Linked DNA regions of Stegostoma tigrinum. The protein of the gene in region 1 purifies or fractionates together with the protein of each later gene. This does not show direct contact. Links are inferred from orthologs where the notes say so. Each region holds a gene or a part of one and is shown in the gene's direction. Other genes may lie near its edges.

Region 1 (8,642 bases):
TGGGTGGATTTTATGAGGTTTAATTTTAAGTCAGGATGCTATTAGCTTTCAGCTATGATGTTAGATTTCTCAACATTGCCCAAACATAATGCAAAAACTAACAGTTGAGATATTGGAGAACTATTGGTTCTAACAGAATTATGCTCTAGCACAGGTTGTGGTTTTTGGAAGAAGGAAGAAAACAAATTTGATAAAATATCTGCTTAATATTTTTTGCAGTCAATTGAAATATTATATGAATTTTAAAAATATGCTGTTGAAATCCTACTTTTCAGTTATTAACAGAATAAGCGCTCTAATTTAAGAAAATATTATAAGGACATTGATTTTGCAAAATGCTAAGAAGGAGAATGTGTGGAAAAATTGTATGTTTTCAGCCTCAGCAACTCAAGTTGTGAAAATCTGATAAAGTTTATTGTTTTATACCAACACTGTAATGAATCAAGCTTATTTATGCTAATGGATACAGGCAATTATTCAGAAACGGCGATGTGCGAGTTCTGGAGGTGGCAGCTCTCTTTATTTCTGCAGACATCCCAATACATGCATAGTAATAAGAAATGCAATTTATAAGAAAAGTTAAACTTCTCTCTCTTGGTCTCACAACCAACTGGAATTTTCACGGGTGTTATAAAACTGGAACGTTTCTTGCATCAATGCTCCTGCAAATCTGCGCATTTTAAAAGCAACATCATTTATTTCATCAATAGTAAACTTTGGGCAATTGGGAACAATTTGCCAACTGTCAGAGAGAAAACAAAAGCTCCATATTATGGTGAGGTAAACTTTTCTCAAGCTTCTCTATCCACTGTCTCTCCTTCCCAAGCTTCCCCTTTCAGCTCCATTTGTGATACATGGGTGCTGCAAATCTCTTCATACTCTGTATTTGAATCACGCTCCAGTGGCTGTAAATCTTTCCAGCTCCACACTTTCATATGGCTAGGGCTGCTAATGGTCTCAGAATAGCCAGAAGACTAGAGGATTCACCCTCAATCTACTAGTGGCTATTAAATTCAATCCAGGAGATTTTTAAACATCAGGATTCCTTTAATTTACTCCCAACAATAACAGAGTTTACTTAACTGAAAGGTGATGTGCGCTTGCACTTGTCAGCAGTGTCTCACCTGGGCAGATTGAGAGGAAAAGCAGTGTTCAGTTTTCACCATGCATATGTCCTTTACTTCTAAGCCTATTCTTCAATAACACTGAATACCCTTGTTCTGAGTTCTCAATCTTGGTCACCCAGCAACTATGAATCTGCAATAGCCTATCAAATCATATCCATTGATTTTGATTTGCCTAGTCCTTTTGAAAGTGCTTTCTGCATTCAAATAAAGGAGTTTAAACTCTGATGTTTTAAACCTTATTACTAACTATGGATCTAATCTTGTTGCACTATTTTGCAAATATTTTCTACCCCTTCCCATCACATTTTGATTATTGTTCACCTCCTCACTGTCATGCACCTTTGCTCTCTTGACTCTAGTTGACTTTTCAATCTTCCTTTCAATTGAACACTCACCACTTCCCACGAATTAGTTTAAAGGCCTATCTACAGCCCTAGTTATACCATTTGCCCCAGCATTTTTCAAAAGAAGCCTGTGCCAATGGAACAGCTTTCACTTTCCAGTGAAAGTACCAGTGCCCCATGAATCAGAACTCGTTTCTCCTACATCAATCTTTGAGACACACATTTACCTCTAATGTTATTTACCCAGTGCCAATTTGCACACAGCACAGATAGTAGTCTGGAGATTGTTATCTCTGTGGTTAACTTTACCCTGAGCTGTTCTTATTTCCTCAGCAGAACACTTTCTTGGTCCTATCCATGTTGTTGGCCACAATAACTGGATCTTTTGTCACCTACTCCAAGTTTCTATCCAGACCAGAAGAGTTGTCCCAAACCTCAGCGCCAGGTAGGCAACACACCCTTCAGGAATGCCTGTCTTTGCTACAAAGAACAACATCAATTTGCCTAACTATGCTCCCCATATTACTACTACATTTTCTTTTCTCCTCCTACTTAAATGGTGCCCTGGACCAGTGATCAGTTCACTCATCCTTCTTGTACCCTGTCCAGACTAGCAGCAAGAACCTTGCATCTATTGGAAAAGCTCAGACTCTAGTGAATCGACTCATTGCTGAATTTCCTCAAGCTGTATTATATGGTGAGGGAGTAGTCTGGGACATTGTTCATAAACTATGATTCCTTGAGTATATGCCAGGCTGTTGCTCAGTCTCTAATTGTGGTACTAATCTGTTAGTGAAGGCGATTTTTCAGAGTTGAAGGGCTGAACTTGCTGTTGTCATTTCTAGAGCTTTTGTCAATGCTCAATGATCCATCCATTTTCATTCTTTTGTTCCCTTTTTGTCACTTTCTAGCAGTTGATAAATCTAAACATTACATCGTAGGACAGTTATGAGTCAGGTGGTTGTGGGTTTGGAGTTGCATGTAGGCCAGGCCAGGCAAGGATGGCAGATTTTCTTCCCCTAGGTGGTATTAATGAACTGCATGGGTGTTTTTCATGATCATCAACTGTGGTTTCAAGATCATCATTAAACGTTTAGTTCAAGATGATTATTGACTTCAAAATTTACCACTTGCCATGTTGGTATTTGAATCCCTGGTTCCCAGTTCTGAAGAAATGACAGGACTTAAAACATTAACTCTGTTTCTTTCTCCACAGATGCTGCCAGACCTGCTGAGCTTCTCTTACATTCTCTCTGTTTCCCCCAGAATATTACCTGCGTCTCTGGATTACCACCTCAGCAATAATTCCACTGTCCCATTGTCTCTTCACAAGCTCTTTTCCAGAAGGATACAGTTTTCCCTTCAGAGAGTGCAATAAAAGCTAAAGAGTTAATAAACATGATAAAGGCAGAATATATCCCAGTTCTGTTGTACAAAGTGCAACTAGGAAGTGAATTGTTATCTAGAACATTCATAGAAGGAGCCATGAACAGAGTTGACTTTCTCCTGTGATCAGAGTGAAATTTATACCTTTGCCAAGAATCACAGTACATCCAATTGAGATTAGGTAGATAAAACAGCTACAGAAACAGGTTCCAGATATTTTTCCATCAAGTGGTGACCAGCACAATACTAGCCAAAATCCATCACCAGAGGATAAAGTAAGTGCAATCAAGTTACAGTAACTGAAGCTGTCTTTAAGGGTGGGGTGATTCAAAAGAAGTGTTTAAGACCATAGACATAAGAGCAGAAGCGGGCCATTCAGCCTATTGAGTCTGCTTTGCCATTCATTGAAATCATGCCTGATTTGATAAACTTAAACTTCATTTTCCTGTCTTTTCCTCATAACCCTTGATTTCCTGAAACTCTACCTATTTCAACCTTGAATCTACTTAACGATCCAGCCTCGACAGCCATCTGCAATAAAGAATTCCACAGATTCATAATGCTCTGAGAGGAGAAATCCTTCCTCATCTTTGTCTTAAATATGCATCCCTTATTCTGAGACCTAGGTCAAGGATCAACTACCAATTGAAAAATGAACAATGCTTTACATCAACAGTGTCATCACTCCTAAAAATAAAAGGATCTATAGGAAATTATTTAACATGCTGGGGCTCTGGCTGTTTGATCTTCAGATTTTATTCCCTGTTTACATGTTTTTCCAGGCATGTGCCAAACCATCTGTCTTTTGTTTGTCTAAATTATGAATAAGACTGTTAATTTTTAGCTTTTTAAAAGGGTATTGTTTAAGACGTATTGCAGCAGATTAGGGACTCTCTCCTATTTGTTAAAGTTAATGGAGTTGCAACAAATAGACAAGTATTTCCTATTAATGATGAAACCGGGTGAGAATTACTTTTGATCTGAATACAGCCAGTTCAGCAACTTGATCATTTTCGTGGGCTAATTTACATTTTACAGATTTTGGTGATGGCTTGCAGAATTGCAGAACATAATCAACAGCACATTATTCCCAATTAAGTCATGACATCATGTTTATCATCACCAATTGGTAATCTTCATAAAGGGGCTGGAGACCGCTGCCAATATGTATAACTATCATATGATGTGTGCCTTTCTCTACTCAACTGACGAAGGAGCAGCAATGTGAAAGTTTACGCTTTCAAATGAACCTGTTGTACTACAACCTGGTGTTGTGTGACTTCTGACCTCAGATCTCGGCTCCTTTTGACAGATGTGTGCTGGAATCCATACAAGTGCAAACCTATAAACATTTGTTAAGTATTTACGCTGTTTACAAAGAAATGGCTGAGAATTTTTTTCCCTCAGATCCCATTTCTATGTGATCTAAAGTGGACTGACACTGCTACTCTGGCAATGGCAACTATTTGTTCCTTCTGAGCACTTGTCAAAAAAGGACATCATTATTCACTTTTTGAGCTATTGGTGCTTTACAAATTGTTTTATGCTCGACATTAAGACACTAATGGGGTTTATGAACCAATTTTCAACTTGTTTTGTAGGGGAACGGCAATAAAATAAAAATTAAAGCAAAATGTTATGGATGCTGGAAATGGAAAAGAAAATTAGAAAGTGTTGGAGAAATTCGGCAAAACCAGCAGCATCTGTGGTCAGAGAAACATAACGTGAAAGGACTTCTGAAATCACACTGGCCTGGAAAGATTTGAGATAGTAGGAACTGCAGATGCTGGAGAATCTGAGATAACAAGGTGTGGTAATAAAATGTGAGGCTGGATGAACACAAAAGGCCCAGCAGCATTGCTCCTGAGATGCTGCTGGGCCTGCTGTGTTCATCCAGCCTCATATTTTATTATCTTGGATTCTCCAGCATCTGCAGTTCCCATCATCACTTTCACAAGGTGTGGGGCTGGATGAACACAGCAGGCCAAGCAGCATCAGAGGAGCAGGAGATTTGACTTTGTTTACATTTCTCTCTCTCTCCACAGGTGCTGCCAGACGTGCTGGGTTTCTCCAGCACACCCTATTTATGTTTTTTTAAAAGCAATTATTTTTGCAGCTCGACTCTTAAGTTAGGAGATGATATGGGTTTTGATTTTGGGGCAACCTCGTCTAACAGTGAACTTTGCTGCAGGCAGCCTGCATTGCAACTGCTGGGGGAGCTCGGACCTGGGGCAGGATCCGGGGGCGTGGTCGGAAGCTGGCCCCGCCCCCCGCCTCGTGGCGCGCATTGTTTCCGGTTCAGCTGGGTGACAGCGCAGCTTGGCGACGGGCGGACATCTTGAAGCTTCAATTGGTGTTCGGAGGACGGAGTCGATCTGGCGGGGGCCCCCTTCTCGACCGGAGACTGGACTTTCATTTCAGCCGAGTGACCGCGGGGAGGTGGGTGCTTACGCTTCTCTTTCTCGCTTTCTACATTCCCCCCCCCCCCCACCCACCATTGTCCGCCTGCTGAAAGTTAATTTTTCTGCCGTGGCCGGAAGTTGAGATCGAGTGAGCTGGGAGTCAGGAGTCTGAGGTCTGGGGTGTGCGGTGGGGGTTGAGCCCTTTCCCGGGGCGCGCGCGCACACGCAGTCGCTGCCCTCTATCTACCCGGCCTCTGGGGCCAGGACCTTACCCAACCTGGGCCTCCAGGACCCCGAGCAGGTGTAGGAGACTGTGAGCCGCCCCCTTCCCTCTCTCCCGCCCCTCGGGCAGACATGGCAAACCGGACGCATTTCACTGTTAAAATTTAATATTTTTTGTAAATCGTGCGTGTTCCCTTAATAACACAGTCATTCCCTTTTAAATAGCGCCCTTATCTTCACCACATTCTCCCACCCCCAACTGTTTCTTCCTACGGTCTCCCTGATTGTGATTAATACAGACTTGTGTTTAAGTCCTGTCTCAAAGCTCTTGGCCCGGCGAATGTCTTTGAAGTGCAATCGCTGTTGTGCTGGCAAACGTCAAGTAGAATCACAGTGCAGATAGAAGCCATTCTGCCCATCCAGTCTCCACCGGCCATCTGAAATGCTGCATTGACTAAATGACCAGAAACAAGGAATTGGGTCGTCATGCTGATGGGCAAGCTCCGTTTCCTCTTCAGCATTGAAATTTAACTGAGCTCAGTTTGCCCTGGCCGGGTAGTGACAGGAAAATTCTGATCTCCTTGACTCCACATCGATTGCTGTTTTGGTGTTAGGTTCAATTTGTGCTTGTAGCAAATGACAATCCTGGATCTTCTCGGTTTGAAATTGTTTGTTTTGTCTCTTTTAAGAAACAAAGTCTTCATTACTAAGGTCTGAAGCTGTTTTGTTCATAAATGGATATGACTGTTTTGTATGCACTCAATGTCAACTTTAAAATAGAGTTCAACTACTTTAATATACTTGCCTATGGGTAATTTCGGGCAATATTTGTCTAATGCAAAATATGCAGGAACCAAATTGGGTAGCTTGTTTCGATGATGTGATAGGTTGAATGGTTCTGAAACATTCAAATACTTATTACACTGTCCTTTATAGTACAGATGCAGGCTGTTCAGTTTAATGTGTTTATTCAAGTGTTTATGCTCCATGCAAACCACTTCCCACCCAATGTATTATTTGCATTTTGTGACTTTGTTGACCTGTTTCTACTTTTATTGATTTGTTTGTATCCCTACCCCACTTAAGATAATTTTCCAAGGGAAATGTGACTTGTTTATGTCTACTACCAGAGTACAACACCCCTCTCATATTTTGAAATTACTTTGCCATTTACACATCTATTCTACAGATTTTTTGAGCTTGTTTTTTATTTTGGTGTAATCTTTCTTGCTATTAGCCATATCTCCCAAAAAGGTATCTGCAAGTTTTGATAATGCAATTCTGATTCTTTTCATTCTTCGATAATTTTTGCATTCATGTACAGAAATGGTCCCTATACCAATCCCTATGGAGGACCACTACCATAAGATCAAATATAGACCATTTGGTCCATGAGGTCCTGTTTGTCATTCATTGCAATCATGGCTGATCTGATATCGTAACTCCACCTTCCTTATCCCTATAAATCCTTAATTCCATTACTAATTATAAATATGTCCATCTCAACCTTTAATATACTTAATTACCCAGCTTTGACAGCCCACCACAGCAAAGAATTTCACAAATTGACTACTGTCCTGGAGAAAAGTTTTCTCCTCATCTCTGTCTTAAATGGACAACCCTTACTCTAAGATTGTACCCTCTGGTCCTAGATTCCCTCACCTTGATAGTCTGTAACTCCTTTGAATACTTTTTGGTTTATATTCAGTTTTCGATTTGTTCTGCTACTTGTCCCCAGAATCTGCATGCTAGCCTGCAGGCATAAGCCTCTTATTTACCTAAATGAAAGGTAGTTTGAAAGTCTATCTAATATTGCACCTGCTGAATTAACTTTACTCTTGCATTTTATGACTTCAAAGAACTCTGTAAACTGACTGATGTGTGTGCAGTTTCTAGATGGTTGGCATTCACACTTGAGTAAATATTCCACTTTTTAACGATTAATTTTTAGTTAACTTCACAATAACTCCTTATTTGTTCTATCGCCCTTTTGAATACAGGAATAATATTGATTGTCCATTTATTTTCCTGACCTGGTTTGCTATTCTATGGATTTTATTTTGAATCTGCCAGCTCTTAGTTCTCTTTTAACTGTGTGGATGTAGTTAATTTTGAACAAAAATTAATCATTTCTAAATTTAATTAGTCCAACAATTATCTTTCTCCATCCTAATTATCTGTTTTTGCTTTGGATTTCATTTTAATGCTATATCTGTCAGAATGTCATACAGCACGGAAACAGATACTTTGGTCCAACGCGTCCATGCCGACCAAGTTTCCCAAAATAAACTAGTCCCATTTGCCTCTAATTGGCCCGTACCATCTCTAAATCATTCCTATTCATGTACCTGTCCAAATGTCTTTTAAATTTTGTAACTACATCTGTATCTGCCACTTCCTCTGCTAGCTTATTCCATATGCGCACCACCCTCTTTGTGAAAACGTTGCTCCTCCAGTCCATCTTAAATCTTTCCCCTGTCACCTTTAAGTTAAGCCTCCAGTTTTGAAGTTTCCAACGCCAGGGAAAGCACCTTGCTATTCATTTTATACTCAGTTTGTAAGCCTCTAAGGTCACCCCTCAACCTCCTTTGTTATTCATTCTGGTAAAAACTAAGGAAAATTAACTATCATGGCTTCTTCCATTTCTTTACACTAATTTGCACTGAGATTCAATCACCAATTGGCTCTGCTCGCTGAGCTACTTCTATTCCCAGTCCAGCTATGGGACTTGTAATTTCAAAATTCTCCTCCTTATTCTCTTGTCTCTGCGTGGCATTACCTTTCTCAACAGCTAGCCTCCCCACATGTTGAGATTTTTGAATGCATCCACTTGTGCTCTTTGATTTCCTCAATTTTAATTCCTCTACCTTCAGTCATTGAGCTTTCAGTTTCCTAAGCCTTGAACTTTGGAATTCCTCCTTATAGAATCCTTACAGTGCAGAAAAAGGCAATTTGAGCAATTAAGTTTGGAACGACCCTCCAGAAAGCATCTCACCCGGACCCACTTTCCCATCCTGTCCCTGTAACCCTGCATCTACCATGGCTAATTCAATTAGCCTGCACATTCCTGGTCTGAGGGAGGAAACCAGACATCCAGCAGAAACCCACACAGACATAAGGAGAACATGTACAGTCACCCACAGCTAGTTTTCCTGGCGTCC
Region 2 (8,610 bases), on another chromosome or scaffold:
TTCTGAAATAAATAGGGAGAGGGGGGAAGTGGATAGAAAATGGATAGAGGAGAAGATAGGTGGAGAGGAGACAGACAAATCAAAGAGGCAGGGATGTCGCCGGTAAAGGTGGTGAACCAGTAGGTGGGGAGGTAGGGAGGAGGTAGGTCAGCCCAGGGAGGATGGACAGGTCAAGGGGGCAGGATGAATTTGGTAGGCAGGAGATGCAGGTGGGACTTGAGGTGGGAGGAGGGGATAGGTGGAAGCAAGGACAGGTTAGGGAGGGTTGACGAGTTGGGCTGGTTTTGGAATGTGGTAGGGGGAGGGGAGATTTTGAAGCTTGTTAAGTCCACATTGATACCATTGGGCTGCAGGGTTCCCAAGCGGAATATGAGTTGCTGTTCCTGCAACCTTCGGGTAGCATCATTGTGGCACTGCAGGGGCCCCAAGATGGACAAGTCGTCTGAGGAATGGGAGGGGGAGTTAAAATGGTTCGCAACTGGGAGGTGCAGTTGTTTAGTGCTACCCGAGCATAGGTGTTCTGCAAAGACGTCCCCCGACCTCTTCATCTCCGCCTGCTGCTGAGAAATCAATCGTCTCAACCCCTCCATCCTTCTCACCCACTCCAACCTCTCCCCCACAGAACATGCAGCCCTCTGCTCCCTCAGCTCCAATCCTAACCTCACCACAAAACCCGAGGACAAGGGAGGCGCAGTCGTAGTATGGCACACTGACCTCGAGGTCAGACGCTAACTCTCTGACACCTCCTCCCACCGGCCCCTTGATCATGACCCCACCCCCAGCCACCAAATTATTATCTCCCAAACCATCCATAACATCATCACCTCAGGTGACCTCCCACTCACATCCTCTAACCGCATTGTTCCCCAAACGGGCACTGCACGCTTCTGTCTCCTTCCCAAAATCTACAAACCTGGCTGCTCTGGTTGACCCATTGTCACTGCCTGCTCCTTCTCCACCGAATTTATCTCGACTCCATTTTCTCCCCCTTAGTCCAGGAACTCCCTACCTATGTCCGTGACACCACCCATGCCCTTCACCTCCTCCAGAACTTCCAATTCCCCCGTCCCCAACACCTCATCATTACCATGGATGCCCAGTCCCTATACAACTGCATTCCCCATACAGATGACCTAAAGGCCCTCCGCTACTTCCTGTCCCGCAGGCCTGACCAGTCCCCCTCCACTGACACCCTCATCCGCTTGGCCAAACATGTCCTCACCCTTAACAGCTTCTCTTTCAATTCCTCCCACTTCCTACAGACAAAGGGGGTGGCCATGGGTACCCGCACGGGCACAAGCTATGCCTGCCTCTCTGTCTCCACCTCTGGCAACCACATAGAAACCAATATCCATTTCAAGCCCACCGACTCGCACGGCTATCTAGAATACACCTCCTCTCACCCACCTTCCCGCAAAATTGCCATCCCCTATTCCCAATTCCTAGGCCTCCGCTGCATCTGCACCCAGGATGAGGTATTCTACTCCCGTACATCTCAGATGTCCTAGTTTTTCAAAGACCGCAACTTCCCCCCAACAGTGGTTGAGAACGCCCTCGACTGTGTCTCCCACATTTCCCACAACTCGTCCCTCAAACCCCCTCCCCGCACTAACAACCAAAACAGAATCCCCCTCATCCTCATGTACCACCCCACCAATCTCTGGATCCAATGCATCATCCTCCGAAACTTCTGCCATCTGCAATCCGACTCCACCACCAAAGACATTGTTCCCTGACCACCTTTATCTGCTTTTTGGAGGGACCACTCTCTCCAAGACTCCCTTGTCTGCTCCAGATTCCCCTCCAGCCCTACCACACCCGGCACTTTTCCCTGTACCGCAGGAAGTGCTACACATGCCCCTACACCTCCCTGTTCACCCCCACCCCAGGCCCCAAGAAGACTTTCCACATTAAGCAGATGTTCACTTGGACATCCGCTAATGTGGTATGCTGTATCCGATGTTCCCATTGTAGCCTCCTCTACATCAGGGAAACCAAGCGGAAGCTTGGGGACCACTTTGCAGAACACCTATGCTCAGTTCGCACTCAACAACTGCACCTCCCAGTTGCAAACCATTTCAGCTCCCCCTCCCATTCTGCAGATGACATGTCCATATTGGGCTTCCTGCAGTGCCACAGCGATGCTACCCAAGGATTGCAGGAACAGCAACTCATATTCCACTTGGTAACCTTACAGCCCAATGGTATTAATGTGGACTTCACAAGCTTCAAAATCTCCCCTCCCCCACCACATTCCAAAACCAGCCCAGCTCATCCCCGCCTCCCTAACCTGTCCTTCCTTCCACCTATACCCTCCTCCCACCTCAAGTCCCACCCCCACCTCCTACCTACTAACCTCATCCTGCCCCCTGGACCTATCCATCCTCCCTGGACTGACCTATCTCCTCCCTACCTCCCCACCTACACCCACCTTTACTGGCTCCATCCCTGCCTCTTTGATCTGTCTGTGTCCTCTCCACCTATCTTCTCCTCTATCCGCCTCCCCCTCTCTCCCTATTTATTTCAGAATCCCTTTCCCCTCCCCCATTTCTGAAGAAAGGTCTTGGCCTGAAAGGTCAGCCTTCCTGCTCCTCTGACGCTGTTTTGCCTGCTGTGTTCATCCAGCTCTACACCTTGTTATCTCAGATTCTCCAGTATCTGCAGTTCCTGTTACCCATGTAATTAATTTATTTTATTTTATTTGGGATACCCTGTGCATTAAAGAGCCCCACTTGACCCTATTTACTGCTGTTTTTCTATGTTTCTACAATCTAACTCTTCCTGACCCAGTCTAGGTATCATCATCCAAAAAGCTGCCTCTAATGCTGTCACATCCCCTTGCTTTATAAGCCCACATTTCCCCTCTCCCAACCCTACCCTCACAAGTTAGTTTAAATGCTGCCTTTGCTAATGCCACCATATCCTATGAAAGAATTTAAAAAAAATGATTTGTGGGGGTGTACTCAATGAGGCAGGGGTACTTTTAATAGGGTGTTGAACAGTTGGCTGATGTGAGGTGGGAGCTCTTATGGAGTATAAGCATTGGCATGGTTGATCTAAATAGATTGTATCTTTGTAGCAGATTCTATATTTGCCATGTAATCCCTGTTTGCCACTGAATCCCTTTCTGTGAGGGCACTATAGGGCTTAGACAGTCAACATCCCAACATCCCAGTCAACATGATTTTTTAAGTTTTTGTTTGTATCATTTTGCTCTACTGTAAATAGTTATAATTATTTATTACTAATGATGCCTTTGGGGCATGAGCTTTTATAGCTCACGTCCCTAATTGGAAACATTGGGGAATGTAATACCTGTACTCCTGAGGTACAGGAACTTGTACTTAAACAGCAATTTTAATATAGTGAGACATCCTTAAGGCAAAGTGTTGTCATTGCACCTCATAAACAATTCATGAGAGACACAAGCAAAAGCTTAACAGAGAACTAGGTTTCAAATGATATATTAAAGGATGAAGAAGAGATGGAGAAGCAGACGTTTAGAGACAGAATATTCTGAAGCTTAAAGACGAGGCAGCTGATGACATGACAACCAAGGCCAGAATGACTCAAACCAAAGATTAATATCAAGGACGCCCCAGAGAACAAACTTAGTTGAATAGTAAGACATGGGCAGAGGGTTTCAGATGACTTCAAGTTTACAGAGGATTGAAAACAGGAGGCCAGGCAGAATATTGGGGCAATAGGCAGATATAGAGGTGATAAAGGGATAGATGAGGCTCTCAGCAGGGTCAGTAGGTGAGTCCGGATGGGATACTCCTCAGAAGGCTGGTGTGGACTCGATGGGCCAAATGGCCTGCTTCCACGTGGTACAGAAAAAAATAACTTGAATGGTGTTTTGGAGACAGATAGGCAATGCTTGTGGAGATAATTTAAATATGTATACACATATATATTTAGCACATCTTAATTCTAGGTGTTGGAAATGTTGCATATATACTGTAGATTGTATTACTACTTGAACATTCCATAGTACAGTTTGTTGTTGTTTGTTCAAACCTGTGGAACCTTGAGGCTTTACTCTCTTAATAATTCGCTTAGATCTCACTTCTTTTAACTTTAAAATTAAAGGTTACTCGTCCTTAATCAGACTATAACATTCCTGGTCTAGGTTCATAACAAAACAGAAATTCTATGGGGAATTGGAGAATTTTGGTGAAGAAACAGAATTAATGATGAGCAAGTGGAGTTTTTGGTGACAAACTGGATATTTTTGGAGAGGGTGTGAAAGTTTGGATAGGGTGGAGGTTTTGGTGATAGAGATTTTCGTGAGGGAATGGATGCTCTGGTGAGAAAGTGGGGTTGATGGTGACGGAGAGAATGTTTCTGGAGAGAGGTTGTAGATTTGATGGAGGTGTTGGGGGGGGTGAAGATTTTGGTGAGGGATGGAATTTCTGATGATGAAATGGGCATTTTGGTCATGAAGTGAATATTTTGCTGAGGTTGAAGTTTTTGGTGAGGAACTGTAGATTTTGCTGGAGGGAGTTGGATATTCCTTACGGTGGAGTGGAGATTTTTTTTCAGGAAGTGGCCATTTTTGATTAGGGTGCATGTCTTGTGATGTAGGGGTGGAGAACTTGTTCAATGAGTTGAGGTTTTGCCTGAGGAAAACTGATGTTGTGCTGTGGGAGTGAGTATTTTACTGACTGAGAGATGGTGTTGCCAACCGATTTCAGGTTTCGCTGAGTGAGAGAGGCTTTGCTAAGTGACGGTTATGTTCAGGGAGAGAAAGATTTGCTGAGGGAGTGAAGTTTTGCTCAATTACTTCCACGGCCCACACAACATTAACTTGCTTCCCTCCCCTGCAGGGCGGGGCCAACAGTTGATTGACAGCCCCCCGCTCGTGGTCGCAGCCAATCGGCGTGTCAGGAATTGGGGCGTGGCACACCAAGGAGATAGATGTGGAAACTGTCCAATTATAGCCGCAATTGTCGCCGCGGGGCACCGATTGACGTGGAATCTAGCCACTCACCGCGCAGAGATCCGGGCAACGCCTCCGCCTGTCTACCAATGACGAGAGAGAAGGCGTGCTTGAGGCGGGTCTAATGCGGAGAGCGGGTCCCGGGCGGTAACGGCCGGAGAGAGGGCGAAGGTGAGGGGGAGCCGAGAAGCTGGCACGGTGGCGATGGATGGGAGTGGGGTTCCCGGGTTCTGTGGGGATGCTGCAGTCTCAGGGTTTTGGGTGTTGTCGGAAGGCGGGTGGGAAACAGCTGGAACCCGAGGCCTGTCCGAGAGTGCGACCCAGAACGTCTTCCTCACCCGTCCCCCTATCATCCACTAAAATCCACTTCTTCCCAAACCCCCCCCCCCACCCATCCTCCCCCCTATCCGCTCCCTTGCCCCTATCCGCTCCCTTGCCCCTATCCACTCCCCCAGCCCCTATCCACTCCCCCAGGGCCATCCAGTCCCCCAGCCTCTATCCTCTCCCTCACCCCACCAGCCCCCATGCTCTTGCAGTCCTCACCGCCCATCCTCTTTCACTCCCCCCAGCCATCTGCCCCTCCTCCCCAGCCCCCTTCCTCTCCCTCATCTCTCCAGCCCCTATCCTCTCCACTCGCCTTCCCCTCCTCGCTGCCCCCCTTTCCCCAGCAGCCCACGTCCAGCCCCACCAGACCCCTGCCCCCACCCCTCAGCCCTGTTCCCAGCCCATAAATGTGTAGGTTAGATGGATTGGCTGTGCTGTAATTGTCATAGTGTCCAGGGATGTGCAAGCTGGGTTATAGGAGTAGAGTTGGCTAGAAAGGATGCTCTTCAAAGGGCTGTTGTTGACTCGATTGGCCAACTGACCTCTTTCTGCACTGAAGGGAGTCTGTGATTCCCTCCTAATCCACAAACACTGCTACCTCTCTGTGTCTGTGTCTGTCTCTCAGGATTAGGTCTTGAAAAATTTAAAACTGTCATGTTTCATTAACACTTGGCAGCTCCTTTGAATTCAGAAATTTGTTTAATGAAATTGATTCATCATCCTCAGCAGTTTGTTTTCTAGTTTTGGTGTTTTGCTTGAAGCTTGTGACTAGTTCATATGACTGCCAGATTTGCGGGCGTTTTGTTGGCTGATTGTAATAATTGCTTTGACACTAACTGAATGGAAATCTGAGTGTGGATCAGGCCAGAGGTCTTTCAATACTGCAGCAATACTGAGGGTTTTTTAAAGAATTGAGCATGTCATCAGTTCTAGGTCACATTAAAAGTTGGCACTTGCACTGTTTTGTTGACTTATTTAAAGAGTTTGGTTTTATGGGTTAATCATTTGGCATTATTTCAAGATCTAAAGCTTACTGTTTTCCTTTTCTGTAAGGTCAAGTTAAGAAATTTTCTTGAATTTGCAAAGTAGCTTATGTTGACGGTGTGCCTGCTGGCTTCACAAGTTATGAAGGTGAAATGTTGGAAAAGGTGCCATTTGCCATAGCCTGGGAGCCACCTTGATGAGTTTCAACACCGACACTCTTCATCCTCTTAAGTGTGACAGCTGAACAGACTGAGATGCATTTGAGAACCAGGATCTCAAACCTAGGAATAAGATCTCATCTGGTCATGAAGTGATTCTTGGTATTTCATTTAGGATAATGCAGTTCTAATATTTTTAAGTAACCTGCTCAGACCTCCTTCTTGCCCAGGGATAGGGATAGTACCAGTGTCACAAGATGATCTGCAACAGAAAATATTCATTAGTTTGATATGCAACTGGCCAGCGAGTTCCAAATGGTTAATAAAAGCCCAAAAAACTGCGGATGCTGTAAATCAGTAACAAAAACAAAGTTGCTGGAAAAGCGCAGCAGGTCTGGCAGCATCTGTGAAGGAAAAGACAGAGTTAACGTTTTGGGTCTGATGACCCTTCCAGTTCTGAGGAAGGATCATCTGACCTGAAATGTTAACTCTATTTTTTCATTCTTTGGTGGCCTCTTAAGTGGGCATTAAAGATTCCATGCCACTATTTTTGAAGATTGGGGGATTTCTGGCTAATATTTACCCCTCCACACCAAAAGGTACCAGTTGGAATCCTGTTGCTGTTTGTAGGAGTTTCCTACATGTCAGTTGGCTGCATGTTTCCTAAGTCATGGGAATTAATACAATTTAAGAATATTGCATTACTGGTGAAATGCTTTGGAAATCTTGAGGATGTGACAAATGAGTATATAAATGTAAGTCTTTTATGGAAGATAAATGAATCTTGTGTATGCTGTGGAGATGTCAGATTTGCAAATAATGTTTGTGGCTCATCAGTGTGATATACGTTACTTCTAATTTTTTTTTCTAGCTGCACAGCGTTCCAAGGTCCTTGTGTTGCAGTGACTTACGGAACCAGAAATCGGTGTGCAATCAGCATGCCTGTGCTGATTGCTATGCATGCAATCTTGGAACTGCTGCATGGTGAACCACACAGCATTATGTTCAAAAGGAAATCCAAGAATTTAAAGCAATTCTTTGTGACTTTCAACAAGGTGCACCGCAACATCTCACCAAAGCTCCTTAAGCAACATCATCTCATACCTACACCTGAAGGACTGCAGCGGTTCAAGAAGGCTCTTCACCAAGGGAGCAGGAAAGTTCACATTTCGGGTCAGGGCCTTTTATTCTGAAGGAGGGTCCCGACCCAAAGCGTCAACTTTTCTGCTCCTCTGATGCTGCTTGGCCTGCTGTGTTCTTCCAGCTCCGTTCTATGTCGTCTCTAACTTCAGCATCTGTAGTTCTTGCTATCTCCAGGCTATTCACCATCACCGTTTTTAAAGGCAGTTAGGAATGGGCAATAAATATTCGCCATGCTAATGATGTCCACGTTCCATCAATGACTAAATATAAAAACCTTGCATAGAGCTGCTGTAGCAAATGGGATAGATGTCCTTTAAGATTAAGTCATATAAACCTAAGAGAGAAAGGAATCTAAAGATGTAAAGTAGGAGGTTCAAATTGGTCAAAACACTAGCTTAGACTTGTTGACCTGACTGATTTTGGTTTCATTCTGTTCATTCAGTATAATTAGTTATCATGGAAAAATAAATCAAAGTAATGTCATCTGCTAAATCTTCAATTTTCTTCTAACAGATGCAGTTTATGCTGCTTTTTAGTCGTCAGGGGAAACTTCGATTGCAAAAATGGTATGTCCCCCTCTCAGACAAAGAGAAGAAAAAAATTACAAGAGAACTTGTCCAAACAGTCCTTGCTCGCAAACCCAAGATGTGCAGCTTTCTGGAGTGGAGAGACCTAAAGATTGTATATAAAAGGTTGGCATTCTGGCATTCACTTTTTGTTCTGGATTGCATTGTGCATTATCGGACTAATGAGCTGCTGGGAGTTGTCTTAGCTCGGTTGACGAGATGGCTGGTTTGCAATGCAGAGAGACACCAGCAACGTGGATCCCGCAGTACAGGGGTTATAATGAAGGATTCTCCTGAACCTGTTGCCTTACCTGAAGGATGGTGACCCTCTGGTTTAACCACCACCTAATGGCCCTGCGATTAAAGGGCAGCCCTATAAGACTGAATTGTCTGATAAGCCTATGGTATCTTTACCTGTACTTTTACTGAGTTACTGCATCACTTCCTCAGTGCAAAGCATTCCTTTTTTGCACCCACTTAATTTCACTTGTAT

What was found.
Region 2: the proteins of ap1b1 (region 1) and AP-1 complex subunit sigma-2 purify together in Homo sapiens (affinity purification with mass spectrometry; 5 studies listed by BioGRID and IntAct, counting the BioPlex papers as one, with this or other methods). This does not show direct contact. The link is inferred for Stegostoma tigrinum from reciprocal best matches to the Homo sapiens genes AP1B1 and AP1S2.

The regions. Positions count from the first base shown.
Region 1 is NC_081379.1:21,050,782-21,059,423, forward strand, and holds the start of ap1b1 (AP-1 complex subunit beta-1), read left to right. Parts: upstream 1-5,152; 5' UTR 5,153-5,296; intron 5,297-8,642. UniProt on the Homo sapiens protein: Subunit of clathrin-associated adaptor protein complex 1 that plays a role in protein sorting in the late-Golgi/trans-Golgi network (TGN) and/or endosomes.
Region 2 is NC_081365.1:79,276,064-79,284,673, forward strand, and holds the start of AP-1 complex subunit sigma-2, read left to right. Parts: upstream 1-5,039; 5' UTR 5,040-5,113; intron 5,114-8,064; coding exon 8,065-8,243; intron 8,244-8,610. UniProt on the Homo sapiens protein: Subunit of clathrin-associated adaptor protein complex 1 that plays a role in protein sorting in the late-Golgi/trans-Golgi network (TGN) and/or endosomes.